Linked DNA regions of Macaca mulatta. The protein of the gene in region 4 interacts with the protein of the main gene of each other region in a biochemical or structural test. Links are inferred from orthologs where the notes say so. Each region holds a gene or a part of one and is shown on either strand. Other genes may lie near its edges.

Region 1 (4,056 bases), on a different chromosome or scaffold from region 4:
TTGTCTGTTTCCATCAAGCAGAATGTAAACTAAATGAGGGCTGCAAGCTTGATTAGTTTTATTTGAGATAGTGTCCAGCACTTAGCAGATGCTCTCAATAAATCTTTTGAGGAATGGCATGGTAATTGATTGGCTGGTGCAGAGGGTGGGCAGAGAGGTGAGAGACAAGGCTAGGAGACCTGTGGTCTTGGGCCTCTGTCTCGGGCATTGCGCAGGGGTCTAGGGGTCCACATGGTCCAGAGACTAGCTGCCCAATTGCCCGTGTCTAGCATTTGAGAAAATCCAATTCCCGGCCAGGCGCGGTGGCTCACGCCTGTAATCCCAACACTTTGGGAGGCTGAAGTGGGCAGATCACCTGAGTCTGGGAGTTCCAGATCAGTCTGACCAACGTGGAGAAACCCTATCTCTACTTAAAAAAAAAAAAATACAAAATTAGCCGGGTGTGATGGCGCACGCCTGTAATCCCAGCTGCTTGGGAGGCTGAGGCAGGAGAATCGCTTGAACTTGGAAGGCAGAGTTTGGGGTGAGTCAAGATCGCGCCATTGCACTCCAGCCTGGGCAACAAGAGCGAAACTCTGTCTCAAAAAAAAAAAAAAAAAAAAAAAAAAAAAAAAAAAAAAAAAAAAAGGGCCGGGCGCGGTGGCTCACGCCTGTAATCCCAGCACTTTGGGAGGCCGAGGCGGGCGGATCACGAGGTCAGGAGATCGAGATCATCCTGGCAAACACGATGAAACCCCATCTCTACTATACTAAAAATACAAAAAAAATTAGCCGGGCGTGGTGGCGGGCACCCTGTAGTCCCAGCTTCTAGGGTGGCTGAGCCAGGAGAATGGTGTGAACCTGGGAGGCGGCAGAGCTTGCAGTGAGCGGAGATTGCGCCACTGCACTCCAACCTGGGCGACACAGTGAGACTCCGTCTCAAAAAAAAAAAAAAAAAGAAAAAAGAAAATCCAATTCCCATTCACTTTCTGGCCTTCTGGCTGCTGACCCAGGCCCGCGGGTATTTTCAGAGGAAGGGAATTGGGGACCCCGCAGGAACCCGAAATCTGCCCCTCAAGAGTGTAGAAGTGGGTAGCGGAAGATGTGGCCTGGAGCATGGTAAAAGGGTCCAGTCTCTGCTTGACTGGACTCCTAAACCTGGCAAGGCAGCCCTCAGGCCAGGCAAGCCAGGCGCGAGACTGTGCCTTCCTTCCAGGCCCTAAAGAGGGCAGCACTGGGCCGGGCCCCGGGCGAGGGGGAGGGACACACGCGGTCCGGCACACTGAAAGGGGAGTGTCGGGTGACACGCCTGGGGAAAAGCGAGCGCCGCCCCTGCCTCTCAGCTGCTGGCTGGAACGCTGATCTATCTAGTTGCTGGGGGACGCCCCCAGATGCCCGGGCCCCACTCGGACTTCAGCACACGCCCCGAAGGATGGGGAAAGAAAGAGGCCCCCATGAGCGGGACTCGCAGTGGCCAAGGAGGGGTGAGAAGCGGACAGGGATCAGCTGGCCCCGGCGGCCTGGTCGCACCTGCATGGTGACTAGCTGCCGGGCTGCGCCCCGGGGCGCAGCCAGGAGGCGGGGCCTGGCAGTGCGTTGGGGGGGGGAGGAGCTTCTGGGTGATGTAAGGCCGGGCATGGGAGGGGCCTCTCCTCGACTCGCTGCCAGGAAGGGGGCGGGACTCTTGGTGACGAGACGCCGGGGAGGGGGCAGGCGTTCATTGATAAAAACGCTGGGCTCCCCCGGGCGCGAGCGCAGCGTAGCAAATACAGGCAGCGCCACGCGCGGCCGGGGCCGGGCGGAACCGAGAAGAAGCCGGGCCCGCGCTGCGACGCGCCGCCCGCATGGAGCCCGCCACTGGTTTCCTGTCCCCGCGCCCCTTCCAGCGTGCGGCCGCCGAGCCCGCTCCCCCGGCCGGGCCCGGGCCGCCTCCGAGTGCCTTGCCCGGACCTGAGCTGGAGATGCTGGCCGGGCTACCGACGTCAGACCCCGGGCGCCTCATCACGGACCCGCGCAGTGGCCGCACCTACTTCAAAGGCCGCTTGTTGGGCAAGGTGGGCCGGGGGACGTCCGCGGGGTGGTGATGGTGGAGGTGGGGGTCTCGGCCGGCCTCATTTCTGGCACCAAGCCGGGCGTGGCCACTTGACCCCCAACGCGGGGACGCCCGCGGGCCAGAGTCGGCCCCCCTGGAACACCCAGCCTGACGCCCCCTCTTCACAGGGGGGCTTCGCCCGCTGCTACGAGGCCACTGACACAGAGACTGGCAGCGCCTACGCTGTCAAAGTCATCCCGCAGAGCCGCGTCGCCAAGCCGCATCAGCGCGAGAAGGTAGGTCCAGGCTCAGCGGGCGAGGGGTGGGGTGGGGACGGTGGCATGGGAACCATGGAAGGATGACGACCCTGCGCCCTCATCGCAGATCCTAAATGAGATTGAGCTGCACCGAGACCTGCAGCACCGCCACATCGTGCGTTTTTCGCACCACTTTGAGGACGCTGACAACATCTACATTTTCCTGGAGCTCTGCAGTCGAAAGGTGAAAGATGGTGATACCCGCAGGGATGAGGGTGAAGGAGAGAAGAGAGTCTTAAGACCCAAAGCTCGGGCCTTGTTTCTTCCTCTGGGAGCACAGATGGAGGGGAAGGGGGAGGGAGGGCTCACCAGGGGCTGAGGCAGTGGCTCTTTGCAGTCCCTGGCCCACATCTGGAAGGCCCGGCACACCCTGTTGGAGCCAGAAGTGCGCTACTACCTGCGGCAGATTCTTTCCGGCCTCAAGTACTTGCACCAGCGCGGCATCTTGCACCGGGACCTCAAGTTGGGTGAGACTCCTGAGCCTGGAGGATGGGAGGTTGGGGAGGGAGGGAGGAAGGAAGGAAAGAATCTGACACACCTCTCTTTCCCCATCTAGGAAATTTTTTCATCACTGAGAACATGGAACTGAAGGTGGGGGATTTTGGGCTGGCAGCCCGGTTGGAGCCTCCGGAGCAGAGGAAGAAGTGAGTTTTGAAGAAAGGAGCCTGTGTGTGATACAGATGACATGCGTGACAGACAGTGCATATGTATGTGGGAGGCAAGGTGACTGCTTGATGTGTGCATGAGATAAATGGGAAGGGATGAGGGGCTGTTTATGCATGTGTGAAGGTGGAGGTGGCAGCCTGTGTTACCGGGACCAGTGGAGAGGGGTAGAATCCTATAGGTGTGTGACACAGATAGGGTAGGTGACCCTGAGTCCCTGAGACAGATAGGGGTGTACAGATTCTTGGAGGCATATGACTTACCCTTCGTGTGGATAGGGGAAGGTTACAGGCAGCGTGTGTGTGTGTTTGTGTGTGAGAGACAGACTGAGAGTGTGGGAATGGTAGGATATGACACTGGGTGTAAGAAGACCCTGCTGTGGCCATCGTACTTTGTGTGTGTGACACAGACAGCATATGTGGCAGATAAGTGTTTATGGGGGTTGTGACAGCTGGTGTTGGTGTGTGTGTGGCACAAACCATGGGAGGTGACAGCCTGATGACTGTCTGAGAGACAGGAGTGAGGAAGGGGGAAGGGATCAGCTGTGGACTCTCTGTGTTGACCCTGGAGGAGGGGACTGGGCTGGGGGTCAGGCCCTCCCCCTGTCATGAAGAGCAGCTGAGCAGCTGGGCCAGGCGGGTGGGCGGGGACTCAGCTGCCATCCCTGGCATCCATTGTCCCAGGACAAGCAGGAGTTCTCTGGCCTTTGGTGACAGGCAGCTGCTTTGTCTGGACTCACAGTGGGGGAAGGGGTGGGGGGGCTGCTGGGCTGGGTCTCAGCCTTTTCTCCTCCTCCCCACCCTCTTTCAGGACCATCTGTGGCACCCCCAACTATGTGGCTCCAGAAGTGCTACTGAGACAGGGCCATGGGCCCGAGGCGGATGTGTGGTCACTGGGCTGTGTCATGTGAGTCGCAGGGTCCAGGTTCGGCAGCAGACAGGTGGTGGGTGTGTGGGTGGGGTATCCCCTCCACTTTACTCCTGACCCCTTGGCCCTGCCCTATAGGTACACGCTGCTCTGCGGGAGCCCTCCCTTTGAGACAGCTGACCTGAAGGAGACGTACCG
Region 2 (4,044 bases), on a different chromosome or scaffold from region 4:
CCTGGAGCAAGAAAGGTCTCAAACATCGCAAGACAGTTGGGATGCCAACGGATCAAAGGGGAAGCAAGCATGACATAGCCACCCACTACAAGGGCTTACCTATTATCCAAGCTTTGGGAACTAGGTTAGAATCCCAGCTCTGTCGCTAACCAACCTGTGTACTTTAGCCAAGTCACTGTACCTGTCTAGACTTCGGATCGCATGTGTGTCTGTCCATCTCACAGGGTTACCCTGAGGCTAAATGAGGTAACAAATGTCATGAACCTACAAGGTAGACTTGACTCTCGGTAACAGTTAGTGTCACCCCCATCCCACACTACTCTCCCTCTTCGGACCCTGCACCCATGGATTCCATCCACCGCTGGCCAGGAGCTGAGTAGAGGCACCGAACACGTGAAGAGGTGAATGGGCAAGGAAGGTTTCTAGGTCAGGTAGCATTTCCAGGGTTCCCGCCTGCAGGCGTCTACCGAGTCTGGCCCGAGGCTGGCACCCAAAGATGCTTCCAGTCTCCAGCAGCGACGCACTGACTGTAAGAAAACTCTGCTTATAAATTCCGCACAGGCATTTAGGAACTGGTCCCTGGGGGCCTCTACAGATTCATTTCGCCCCCGACTCCATCCCCTTTGTGCCACCCTCGTTATTGCACTCTTCCATCCGGATGGCATTTAGCTGGGTCCAGGTCTGTCACCCGCCTGACCACCAGCTCCTTGAGGGCAAGAGGCTCCTGCTGCCCTCGGAGTCCGGCCCAGCCCGCAGCTGCTCAGATCCGGAGACGGGAAGGTTTGTGGGCGAGAGCCTGACGCCCGGGTCACAGTTAAGGATGCAAGAGCCCGGCTCCTTCCCGTAGCCCCGGCCCTGTCATTAATGCTGGGGCTCCAGTCGGTGCAGCGCAGTCCGAAGGATGCAACCGCAACTTTTGTGCACAGTAGGCTCTCGATCTGTAATCCAGCCAACCCAGGCCTGTAGTCTGTAAATGCCAACTCAGCGGGAGGGCTCTGGCTGTCGCCCAGGGCCGTTTCTCGGCTCTTTCGGGGTTGCCGGAGCGCTCCGTACAGGAGGAACCCGCCGCCCGCGGTAGTCAGTGGAGACCCGGCCAGCGCTTCCCCGCCCTCTTCACCGCCCCCGCGGCGGGGTCTGGGCCAAGTCGCCCCTAGCAACAACAGCCGGGCCGGCTTTCTCAGGCCACGCTGATTGGCGGGACTCCGGGAGGCGGCCTGTCGTCACTTCCGGCAGCCGGAGGCAGCAGAGGAAGCCGAGGAGCGGCCATCTTGGGTCCGTGAGGCTCCGAGGTGCCGGGGTGCGGCGGCAGCAGCGGCGGCCAGCAGGGCGGAGGCTGAGGCAGCAAGCTCGCTAGAGAGGGAGAAGCAGCCGGGCGCAGGCGCCTCCTCCGCAGCCCGCTCCATGGTCAGCGCCCACAGCCCGCGGCGGCCTGTCTTGCGCTCCACTTCCTTCACATCCTCCTCCGCCTCCTCTTTTTCAGACGCCGCCGGCGGCGCTGTGTGGAGGCCCGGGAGCTGAAATTCGCGGCGCGACGGGCGGGAGTGGAGAAGGAGGCGAGGGGGCCCGGGATCGCGGGGCGCCCTGAGGCGAGGGGACGCCGGCGGGCCGAAGCCGGCAGCTCGCCGCAGGCTCGGCTCCGCCACTGCCGCCCTCCCGGGCTCCTCGCCTCGGCCGCCGGGGCAGGGAGAGAATGAGCCCCGGGACCCGCCGGGGGACGGCCCGGGCCAGGCCCGGGATCTAGACGGCCGTAGAGGGAAGGGAGCCGCCTTCCCCACGGCGCCGCTTCGAAACTGCCGTGGACTCGAGGACGCTGGTCGCCGGCCTCCTAGGGCTGTGCTGTTTTGTTTTCGCCCTCGCATTGTGCAGAATTAAAGTGCAGTAAAATGTCCACTAGGACCCCATTGCCAACGGTGAATGAACGAGACACTGAAAACGTAAGTAACCTGGGCGTTGTAGTTGGCGGACCTTCGGGGTGGCCTTCGTGCTCCTCGGGCAGTGCCTTGCAGTCGGGTGTTCCCCCCCAGCCCGAACGCTCTGGAAATAGAGGGCAGGCCGTAGTCACCCAAGAGGCAGCCAGGTCGGACCGTTTCCTCCAGAAGTCCGCCCTGTCCCGCGGGCGGGTCCACGAAGTATATCGATTATGCCTGCAGTCTAGTCGATTAGTAAAGCCCATAAGTTGCATCGTTACGAATCGGTGCTTTGAGAGGCCGGGTTGCCGCTCAATGGATTGTGCAAGTGTGCGTGTCAGATCACTGCAGTGGTCAGTGCTTATTTTAACCGAACTCTGCTTTTAACTTGGTCAGGCATTTCTTGAGAGACTATCATATTAATACCATATGTACTGGTGCTGATTAAGAGTAATCGATTGAGTCAAGTGGGCTGTCTCGTTCTTTTAAGATGGAACTAAATTTAATCACAGTCACTAAGTGTCTACTGAGGGATCTTTGCGGTCCCCTTAGGAATTCCAAAACACTAGCGCGCAGCCTTTATTAAGGCATAGGTTCCTTTCCATACAAATCTTTTTTGAAGGAGTTAAACATTTTAAAAAGCAGAAAAGCAGATGTATAGTGAAGTTGTGCTCTGCCACTCACTGCCTAGCTGAGGGACACCCGCTGGGGCTTCGCTGTCCTCCTTCCTAAAAAGAGGTTGACTTAGATGAGCTCTTAGGTCCGTTTCAGCGCTCACAGGCTATGATTTTATAAAAGGAACCTTTGATTTTGTGCATGTGAAACTACAAAATGCCAGGAACAGCATTGCTAGAGAATGAGAACTTGTAGTAGAAATGCCATTGAAGAAACGTTTGACAAACTCTGTTCGTTTTCTGAACTCTCCTCTAACACTGGCTTCAAAAGTGTTTCAATCTAGTTGTTTCCTATATTCTGTAAAACGTCTAGTAAATAACTTGTAAAGAAACTTCACTGGCCTTTCATTAAAAGTGTTATGAGGTAATTGCTGGCACGAAATGTCTTCTCTTAGGGAATGCTTCCTTGCTTTGAGTGTTTTCATGCTTTCAGTAATGTCCTGAGATGTTATGGCCTAGTGGTGTCAATGTTTTAATTTTGATCTTCAAAAATGCCACTTGTTTGCTGGATAGCTATTTGATAATTTAATCTGTAAACGTAAAACCATAGCCTAAAACATCCCTGTAGCATATTAGTGTATAATATTTAATGCTCTTTAGCCCTTAGTGAGTAGAACAGTGGTGTACCTTTCTCCACCTGAGAGAGATTAGAAAATTATATAAAGAGCGAGTAATAGAAACTCTTAGACTAGGTGAGTCAGGGAACTATTTTCTTATGGTCCTTTTAAAGAAACCTTTTTTTGTTTTTTTTTTTTTGAGACAGACCGAGACTGTCTCCCAGGCTGACTGTCTCCCAGGCTGGAGTGTGGTGGTGCGATCTTGGCTCACTGCAGCCTTCGCCTCCCAGGCTGAAGTGATTATCATGCCTCAGCCTCCCGAGTAGCTGAGATTACAGGCATGCACCACCACGCCTGGCTTGCATTTTTGTATTTTTAGTAGACAGGGTTTCACCATGTTGGCCAGGCTGGTCTAGAACTCTTGGCCTCATGTGATCCACCCGCCTCGGCCCCTCAAAGTGCTGATATTACAGGCGTGAGCCAGTGTGCCCAACTGATTAGTTTTGATCATTGATATTCACTCAGAGAAGCAAAACTTTACGTTGAACCAGAGTAGGAGCTCCATGCTTTCTAAACTGAAGCCAAAAACAGTCATAGCAGATTTGTGATAATGAAGGATTTCAAATGGGTCTTCTTTCTCTCTTTCTTTTTTGAGATGGAGTCTGGCTCTGTCTCTCAGACTGGAGTGCTGTGACACGATCTCGGCTCACTGCAACTTCCACCTCCCAGGTTCAAGTGATTCTCCTGCCTCAGCCTCCTGAGTAGCTAGGATTACAGGCATGCGCCACCACTCCGGGCTAATTTTGTATTTTTAGTAGAGAAGAGGTTTCTCCATGTTTGTCATGCTGGTCTCAATCTGACCTCAGGTGATCCGCCCGCTTCGGCCTCCCAAAGTGCTGGTATCAC
Region 3 (4,161 bases), on a different chromosome or scaffold from region 4:
ACTGCAAGCTCCGCCTCCTGGGTTCACGCCATTCTCCTGCCTCAGCCTCCGGAGTAGCTGGGACTACAGGCGCCCGCCACCGCGGCCGGCTAATTTTTTGTATTTTTAGTAGAGACAGGGTTTCACCGTGGTCTCGATCTTCTGACCTTGTGATCCGCCCGCCTCGGCCTCCCAAAGTGCTGGGATTACAGGCGTGAGCCACCGCGCCCGGCCAAGATGATCTTGAATAAAGTCTTTCTGGTGTTTGAACAAGTGTGACTGAATAACGTTTTCTTTAATACCACCCTATCTTTTCCACAGCCCAGGTCCCTTCATCCCTGTCTCCCGGTTTATTTTAATTCAACCCCGTTCACACTCTACTCCCAGAGTCTGTCCTATTTCCTTATCAGTTCAGCTCTATCCACACTGCCCCATCTCTCCAAGATCGTCAGCCTCAGGGGAAAAAACTATTTATTGGACCCTTTCCCTCGAATTCTCACTTTTCCCTCAGGTCTCGCCTACAATATTAAGATTTTCATGCTTTACTCCCCAATTTCGGACTACACTTCTGCAGTCCTTTCTTAAATACATCAAACCAACTCTTCCAGTCTCCCGGGCCCTGCCCCTCAAGTACCCCTTCCTCAAGCTCCGCCCCTCGACTTCTCCTTCCCTTTCCCGTAGGTACCGCCCCTCAAATTTCCCTCCCCTCTAGCCTCGGCCCCCCTATTTCCTCTAACTTCAGCGCCCGCCCCTCCAGTCTCGTTCGTCTCCCTTCTCCACACCTCAACGCTGCTTCCCTCAGTCCCCGCCTCTCAATTTCCTCCTGAGAAATCAAGACACTTCTCTCACGCCTGCTCTCTAGACCTCCGCCCCCCTATCGGTCCCGCCTTCTCTTCCGCAAGCCAGATCCGTCCTCCCCTCTCGCAGGCCAGACCCCGACGTCTCTCTCGCCCGGGCCCGTTTCCCGAAACAGTCGCTCGTACCAGTCCATAAGGCTGAAGTAGTCTCGAGTGGGGTCAGGTGCCTGCAGCGCTCTGCACTGTGGGCAGAAGAACCTGTCCTCCCGCCCGGGGCCCCATGGGCCGCCGCAGTTCCAGCAGTGGGGAGAATTGCTTTCCGCCTGCGACGCAGCATCGCAGCTTAGCAGTCTCCTTCTGGGACCCCCTGTCGGCCAAAACCCCCACACCCGGAGCAAAGCCCCGACTCTCCCCCGCCACATCTCGCCGGCGGCCTAGCTAGCCGTGGTCACCCGTGGGGAAAAGCAAAGAGAGCGTCCAACCAGACTAATGCTGCTGATTGGCTGGGGAGTCGAGGGGGCGGGATCACCCGAGGGGAACCCGAGTTCTAAGTTCCGCTCTGCCTTCTAAACTACAACTCCCAGGAAGCATTGAGGCGATGCCTGACGGCCACATCTGCTGCTCCTCATTGGTCCGGCGGCAGGGGAGAGGGTTTTGATTGGCTGAGGGTGGAGTTTGTATCTGCAGGTTTAGCGCCACTGCAGGCTGAGGCTGTGGAGAGTGTGCGGCTCCAGGTGGGCTCACGCGGTGAGTCATATTGGGAACTTCTGTTGGGTGTTTGGTGGTTCGAATCCCATCTTCAGCGTTTCGTGCGAGCGGAGTCTCCTGAGCTTCGCTTTGTCTGTATTTTTGTACTGAAGGGGGAGTGTGTGGGCGACTCTCTTCCTTTTTAGTAGATCATCCTCGAGGTGAAGTTCACTTCCCGTATTACTTACAAGCTGAAACAGGCCTGAACGGACAGGATAAGAAGGAACAGAGTTGTGTTCTTCAATATCAGAGCGAAGTTACTTTGTAAAAAGTTCTATAGATGTTAGTAATCATTGCCATTCTTTAGATTCAATCTCTAAAATACTTATAGAGAGGCCAGTCTTAGCTACTGGGCGCTGCAGGAACTGGAAACGCACTGAGCTGTGTAGGAGGATGTTCTGCGTGTCCCTAAGTAAGTCCCTAAGTAAGTGTATGGGATAGGGTGGCCAGGAGTGGGTAGGAGGGAATCAGTCCTCCTTCGGACTTAGGTTTTCTACTTGAAAAAAAAGATTGTGTTTCACTTGAAAGCCTTCTGGACTTTTTTAAAAAAATTATTTATTTTTGATATAAAGTATACATGTATGAGTACCACATATGTACCTTTTTTTTTTTTTTTTTGAGACGGAGTCTCTCTCTGTTGCCAGGCTGGAGTGCAGTGGCGCGATCTGGGCTCACTGCAACTTCTGCCTCCTGGGTTCAAGCGGTTCTCCTGCCTCAGCCTCCAAAGTATCTAGGATTATAGGTGCCCGCCACCATGCCCGGCTAGTATTTTTAGTAGAGATGGGGTTTTACCATGTTGGCCAGGCTGGTCTTGAACTCCTGACCTCAGGTGATCCACCCGCCTTGGCCTCCCAAAGTGCTGGGATTACAGGTGTGAGCCACTGCACCCAGCCTAATTTCAGTTTTTTGAGGAATCACAATACTTTTGTGATTAGTGGCTATACTAATTTGCATTCCCACCAATGGTGTATGTGAACAGGGCAAGGTCAGACATAACTAGGTCCGTGAACATTTGTGTTTTTCCACAAGATCAGACTTACTGATGTTTTATTTTAATTGTAAAAGCCACGAGCTACATGGAGTTCCCAAGGAAGCAATTTTCTGTAGTACTACCTGTTTACTTGGTAGTCAGAACCATGGGCACACAGGCTGAAGCCATTCCACAAGTCAGTCAGCATTGTAAATTATACACAATAGTATAGTTATTTAATATATAAATGTTATAGGTTAAAAATCTTACATTAAAGTAACATTTAACATTCAGAGAAAAGGGGATAGGGAAAGCGGTTATCAAACCAGTCCAAGGAGAGCAATGTGGACAAAGAGAGTGTTTTGGCTTGATCTGGGGTGTCAGTGTCTTGTAAGGAAGAGTTTTTGATGTGGATGAGCCTTTGGTGGCAGATGCTGGGTGTTAATCGTGAGTGACAGCAAGATGGTGTCTGTTAGGACAGCCATTCTGACCTAATAAAGTCCTGGTCTTATGACCACAAAATTTTCTGGTAAGGACTAATAACAAAAGCGTGTACATGTTTATGTCCTTATCTGGTTTAGTACCGTCTTTTTTTGTTTTTTTTTTTGAGACAGAGTCTCGCTTTGTCTCTCGCAGGCTAGAGTGCAGTGGCGTGATCTCGGATCACTGCAACTTCAGACTCCCTGGTTCAAGCGATTCTCCTGCCTCAGCCTCCCAAGTAGCTGGGATTACAGGCACGTGACACCACGCCCAGCTAAGTTTTGTATTTTTAGTAGAGTCGGGGTTTCACCATGATGGCCAGGATGGTCTTGATCTCCTGACTTTGTGATCCGTCTGCCTTGGCCTCCCAAAGTGCTGGGATTACAGGCGTGAACCACTGTGCCTGGCCAGTACAGTCTTTATTAATTAGACAAACATCTGGTCCCTATTGGCATAATGCCTTTTAAAATACAAGAGCCTTTTTTTTTTTTTTTTTTTTTTTTTTTTTTGAGACGGAGTCTCGCTGTGTCTCCCAGGCTGGAGTGCAGTGGCGTGATCTCGGCTCACTGCAAGTTCCGCCTCCCGGGTTCACGCCATTCTCCCGCCTCAGCCTCCCGAGTAGCTGAGACTACAGGCGCCCGCCACCACGCCCGGCTAGTTTTTTGTATTTTTAGTAGAGACGGGGTTTCACCGTGTTAGCCAGGATAGTCTCGATCTCCTGACCTCGTGATCCACCCGCCTCGGCCTCCCAAAGTGCTGGGATTACAGGCTTGAGCCACCGCGCCCGGCCACAAGAGCCTTTTTCTAAGATAAAATTACTTATGTCAAGAGCACTCTGTACAGTTCCCCTTTCTCCACATTCTTCCCAGCATCTGTTATTGCCTGTCTTTTATTCAAACCATTTTAACTGGGGTGAGATGGTATCTCATTGTAGGTTTGTTTGTTTGTTTGTTTGTTTGAGACAGAGTCTTACTCTGTCGCCTAGGCTGGAATGCAGTGGTGCGATTTTGACTCACTGCATTCTCTGCCTCCCAGGTTCAAGCGATTCTCCTGCCTCAGCCTCCCAAGTAGCTGGGATTATAGACACCTGCCACCATGCCCAGCTAATTTTCATATTTTTAGTGGAGACAGGGTTTCACCATGTTGGCCAGGCTGGTCTCAAACTCCTGACCTCAAGTGATCTGCCCG
Region 4 (3,500 bases):
AGCCTCCCAAGTAGCTGGGATTACAAGCACATACTACCATACCCGGCTAATTTTTGTATTTTTAGTAGAGATGGGGTTTCAACATGTTGGCCAGGCTGCTCTTGAACTCCTGACCTCGTAATCCGCCCGCCTCGGCTTGTAATCCCAAAGTACTGGGATTACAAGTGTGAGCTGCCGCGCCTGGCCCCTGTTTTTAATTCTTTTGGGTATATATTCATAAGTAGAATTGCTTGATTATATGATGATTCTATGTTTAATTTTTTGAGGAACTAGCATGCTAGTATCCATAGAGTGCCTCTGCACCCTTTTGCATTCCCACCAGCAATGCACAAACACTTGTTATTTCTTATAATGGCCATCCTAATGGGTATAAAGTAGTATCTCATTGCAATTTTGATATGCATTTCCGTAATGATTACTTATGTTGAGCATCTTTTGATGTACTTATGGGCCATTTGTGTATCTTCTTTGGAGAAATGTCTATTCATGTCCCTTTTGATTGTTATTGTGTTTGTTATTGAGTTGTAGGAGTTCCTTATATATTCTGATATTAATCCCTCATCAAATATAAGACTTGCAAATATTTTCTCCCATTTTGTGGGTTGCCTTTTCAATCCCTTAATGGCGTTCTTTGATGCACAAAAGTTTTTCATTTTGATGAAGACTAATTTATCTATTTTTTTCTTTCATTATCTGTGCTTTTAGTGGCATTATCCAAATCCAATGTCATGAATTTTTTCCCTTATGTTTTCTTCTAAGAGTTTTATAGTTTTAGCTCTTACATTTAGGACTTTGATATATTTTGAATAGTTTTTAATGTTGTCAATATACTTGATAGGACAACGGAAAATTGGTGGACAGTGAAATGAAATATCTGGGCAGTCCTATTACTGCTCCAAAGTTGGATACAAATCCAAACCTAGGAGAAGACCAGGCAGAAGAGATTTCAAATGAATTAATGGAGTTTTCCCTGGAAGATCAAGAAGCAAAGGTAAAGTATTCTGTGATAGTATCTTTGCATTCTTCATATTCCTTCATTCTGTTAAAAGAAAAACTTGAGACAAATTAAACTTAGGAGAGTTTATTTGAGCAAAAAAATAACTAGTGAATCCAGCATCCCTCATAGCCAGAACATATTCAGTAAAACTCCAGTTTGCCATGTGGTCAGGCAGTATTATGGACAGAAAATAGAAATGAAGTATAGAAAACAGAAGTGAGGTACAGAGACAGCCCAGTTGGTTACAGCCTTGAGTTTACCTCATTTGAACATGGTTTAAACAGTTGATTGATTGTGGTTGACTGAAGCTCAGCTGCTCTGCTTTCCTGAGACTCAGCTTTTTGATACAAAAGTATACTTCTCAATTAGGCTTTCAGTTGAAGTACTAAGTTAGGTTGCAACTTGGTATGTAAAGACTCAAGTACAGAGGCATCCGCAGGCCAAATTTAGTTTAATTAACAATTCATTCTTTTTTTTTTTTGAGACAGATTCTCGCTCTGTTGCCTAGGCTGGAGTGCAGTGGTGCCATCTTAGCTCACAGCAACCTCCTCTTCCCAGGTTCAAGCGATTCTCCCGCCTCAGCCACTAGAGTAGCGCAGCGCCACACCCGGGTAATTTTTAGTATTTTTAGTAGAGACAGGGTTTCACCATGTTGGCCAGGCTGGTCTTGAACTGGTCTCAGGTGATCCACCCGCCTCAGCCTTCCAAAGTGCTGGGATTATAAGCGTGAGCCACCATGCCCAGCCAACAATTCATTCTTGAATAAACAATATTTTATGCCTAATACGTATGAGTCACTCTACTAAATGCTGGAGCTACAGAGATCAACAAGATGTGATAACCTATCTTTATTTATTTATTTTTTTAAATGGAGTCTTGCTGTGTCACCTAGGCTGGAGTGCAGTGGTGTTATCTTGGCTCACTGCAACCTCTGTCTCCCAGGTTTAAGCAATTCTCTTGCCTCAGCCCCCCAAAGCATGCCACCATGCCTGGCTAATGTTTTGTAATTTTAGTAGAGACGGGGTTTTGACATGTTGGCCAGACAGGTCTCAAACTCCTGACCGCAAGTGATCTGCCCGCCTTGGCTTCCCAAAGAGCTGGGATTACAGGCATGAGCCACCGTGCCTGGCCTAACCTATCTTTAGACTGAGGGCTACCTGACTGATAGGTTATCAGGTTACTACAGGAATCTTCTTACTGCTGGTGAACAGGCTCCAGTCAATAGTTTGAGTGGATCACCATCAAAGTAACCTAGTATAAGTAATGTCTCCAGGATAGTAGTAATGTATAGAATATACCTAACATGACTTTTTAGGTATTTTATAATACAGTCTTTTGTTTCCTTTTATCTTTCCCATATCACCGATAGATATACCTGAAGCATGTGGGTTATAGCCTATATGCTGATATGCCAAAGATAGTTTCTGAGGCATTTAGCTTTTTTTTTTTTTTGAGATAGGGTCTTGCTCTGTAGCCCAGGCTGGGGTACAGTGGCACAATTAAAGCTCACTGCAGCCTCGGTCTCCCCAGGCTCAGGCAGTCCTCCCACCTCAGCCTCTGAGTAGCTGGGACTATAGGCACATGCCACCATACCTGGCTAATTTTTTGTATTTTTTGTAGAGACGTGGTTTCACAGTATTGCCCAGGCTAGTCTCAAACTCCTGGGCTCAAATGATTCACACACCTTGGCCTCCCAAAGTGCTGGGATTACAGGCGTGAGCCACCATGCCAGGCCTGTATTTAGCATTTCTAAATCAACTTTGTTGCTTTGAAACAGGTAGAGCTATGAGTTTGTCTTTAAAATTTATTCATTTCACAAGGCCAATATGGTATAGTGGAGTTAGAACAGTTGCATTCTAGTCCTCATGCTTTTATTTTTTTAATTATTTAATTAATTAGATAGAGTCTTGCTCTGCTCTATCACCCAGACTGGAGTGCAGTGTTGAATTCCTGGGCTCAAGCAATCCTCCCACCTCAGCCTCCTGAGTAGCTAGGACTATAGGTGCATACCACCATGCCCAGCTAATTTTTAAAATTGTTTGTAGAGATGGGGTCTTGGTGTGTTGCCCAAGCTGGTTTGGAACTCCTGGGCTCCAGCAATCCTCTTGCCTTTGTTGTGGGATCTTTAGGGTGTTGCTTTTCTGGCTAGAAACCTCTGTGGCCAGTGGTGCCTTTGCCTGAGTTCTTGTCCTGCATCGAGGTACGCAGGCAAGTGGAGAGTAAGCAAGACGAAGAGAAGCTCTATTGAGTGTTAGAACAGCTCAGAGGAGACTCACAGGGGCTAGCTCTTCTCTGTAGGCAGTTTGTCTTATCCGGTATTCAGCTCTCAGCAGAGAGGAGGCCCTGGAGTGGGTGGCTCCTCTCTTCAGGCAGGTCCTACCTGTTGACTTCCCAGCTCTCAGCAGAGAGCATAGCTTCTCTCTCCTTTCTGGCTGTCTGATCTTTTCTCCATCCTCTACCCTGTTGTGGCTGAGCCTGGGGCTTTTATGGACCTCAGAGGGGA

The links.
Region 1: of the proteins of CDC25C (region 4) and PLK3, one has a biochemical effect on the other in vitro, tested with the Homo sapiens proteins (2 studies listed by BioGRID, with this or other methods). The link is inferred for Macaca mulatta from reciprocal best matches to the Homo sapiens genes CDC25C and PLK3.
Region 2: of the proteins of CDC25C (region 4) and MARK3, one has a biochemical effect on the other in vitro, tested with the Homo sapiens proteins (3 studies listed by BioGRID, with this or other methods). The link is inferred for Macaca mulatta from reciprocal best matches to the Homo sapiens genes CDC25C and MARK3.
Region 3: of the proteins of CDC25C (region 4) and CHEK2, one has a biochemical effect on the other in vitro, tested with the Homo sapiens proteins (14 studies listed by BioGRID). The link is inferred for Macaca mulatta from reciprocal best matches to the Homo sapiens genes CDC25C and CHEK2.

Annotation. Positions count from the first base shown.
Region 1 is NC_133406.1:195,835,004-195,839,059, reverse strand, and holds the start of PLK3 (serine/threonine-protein kinase PLK3), read left to right. Parts: upstream 1-1,256; 5' UTR 1,257-1,370; coding exon 1,371-1,463; intron 1,464-1,730; exon of another isoform or gene 1,731-1,823; coding exon of another isoform or gene 1,824-1,865; coding exon 1,866-2,033; intron 2,034-2,199; coding exon 2,200-2,307; intron 2,308-2,395; coding exon 2,396-2,512; intron 2,513-2,665; coding exon 2,666-2,795; intron 2,796-2,884; coding exon 2,885-2,972; intron 2,973-3,801; coding exon 3,802-3,897; intron 3,898-3,996; coding exon 3,997-4,056. UniProt on the Homo sapiens protein: Serine/threonine-protein kinase involved in cell cycle regulation, response to stress and Golgi disassembly. Polo-like kinases act by binding and phosphorylating proteins that are already phosphorylated on a specific motif recognized by the POLO box domains.
Region 2 is NC_133412.1:176,804,146-176,808,189, forward strand, and holds the start of MARK3 (MAP/microtubule affinity-regulating kinase 3), read left to right. Parts: upstream 1-1,244; 5' UTR 1,245-1,404; exon of another isoform or gene 1,405-1,480; 5' UTR 1,481-1,883; coding exon 1,884-1,934; intron 1,935-4,044. UniProt on the Homo sapiens protein: Serine/threonine-protein kinase. Involved in the specific phosphorylation of microtubule-associated proteins for MAP2 and MAP4. Phosphorylates the microtubule-associated protein MAPT/TAU. Phosphorylates CDC25C on 'Ser-216'.
Region 3 is NC_133415.1:22,810,395-22,814,555, forward strand, and holds the start of CHEK2 (serine/threonine-protein kinase Chk2), read left to right. Parts: upstream 1-1,361; 5' UTR 1,362-1,523; intron 1,524-1,537; exon of another isoform or gene 1,538-1,935; intron 1,936-4,161. Other genes in the region: iron-sulfur cluster co-chaperone protein HscB, read right to left, coding at 963-1,198. UniProt on the Homo sapiens protein: Serine/threonine-protein kinase which is required for checkpoint-mediated cell cycle arrest, activation of DNA repair and apoptosis in response to the presence of DNA double-strand breaks.
Region 4 is NC_133411.1:147,180,834-147,184,333, reverse strand, and holds part of CDC25C (M-phase inducer phosphatase 3), read left to right. Parts: intron 1-838; coding exon 839-991; intron 992-3,500. UniProt on the Homo sapiens protein: Functions as a dosage-dependent inducer in mitotic control. Tyrosine protein phosphatase required for progression of the cell cycle. When phosphorylated, highly effective in activating G2 cells into prophase.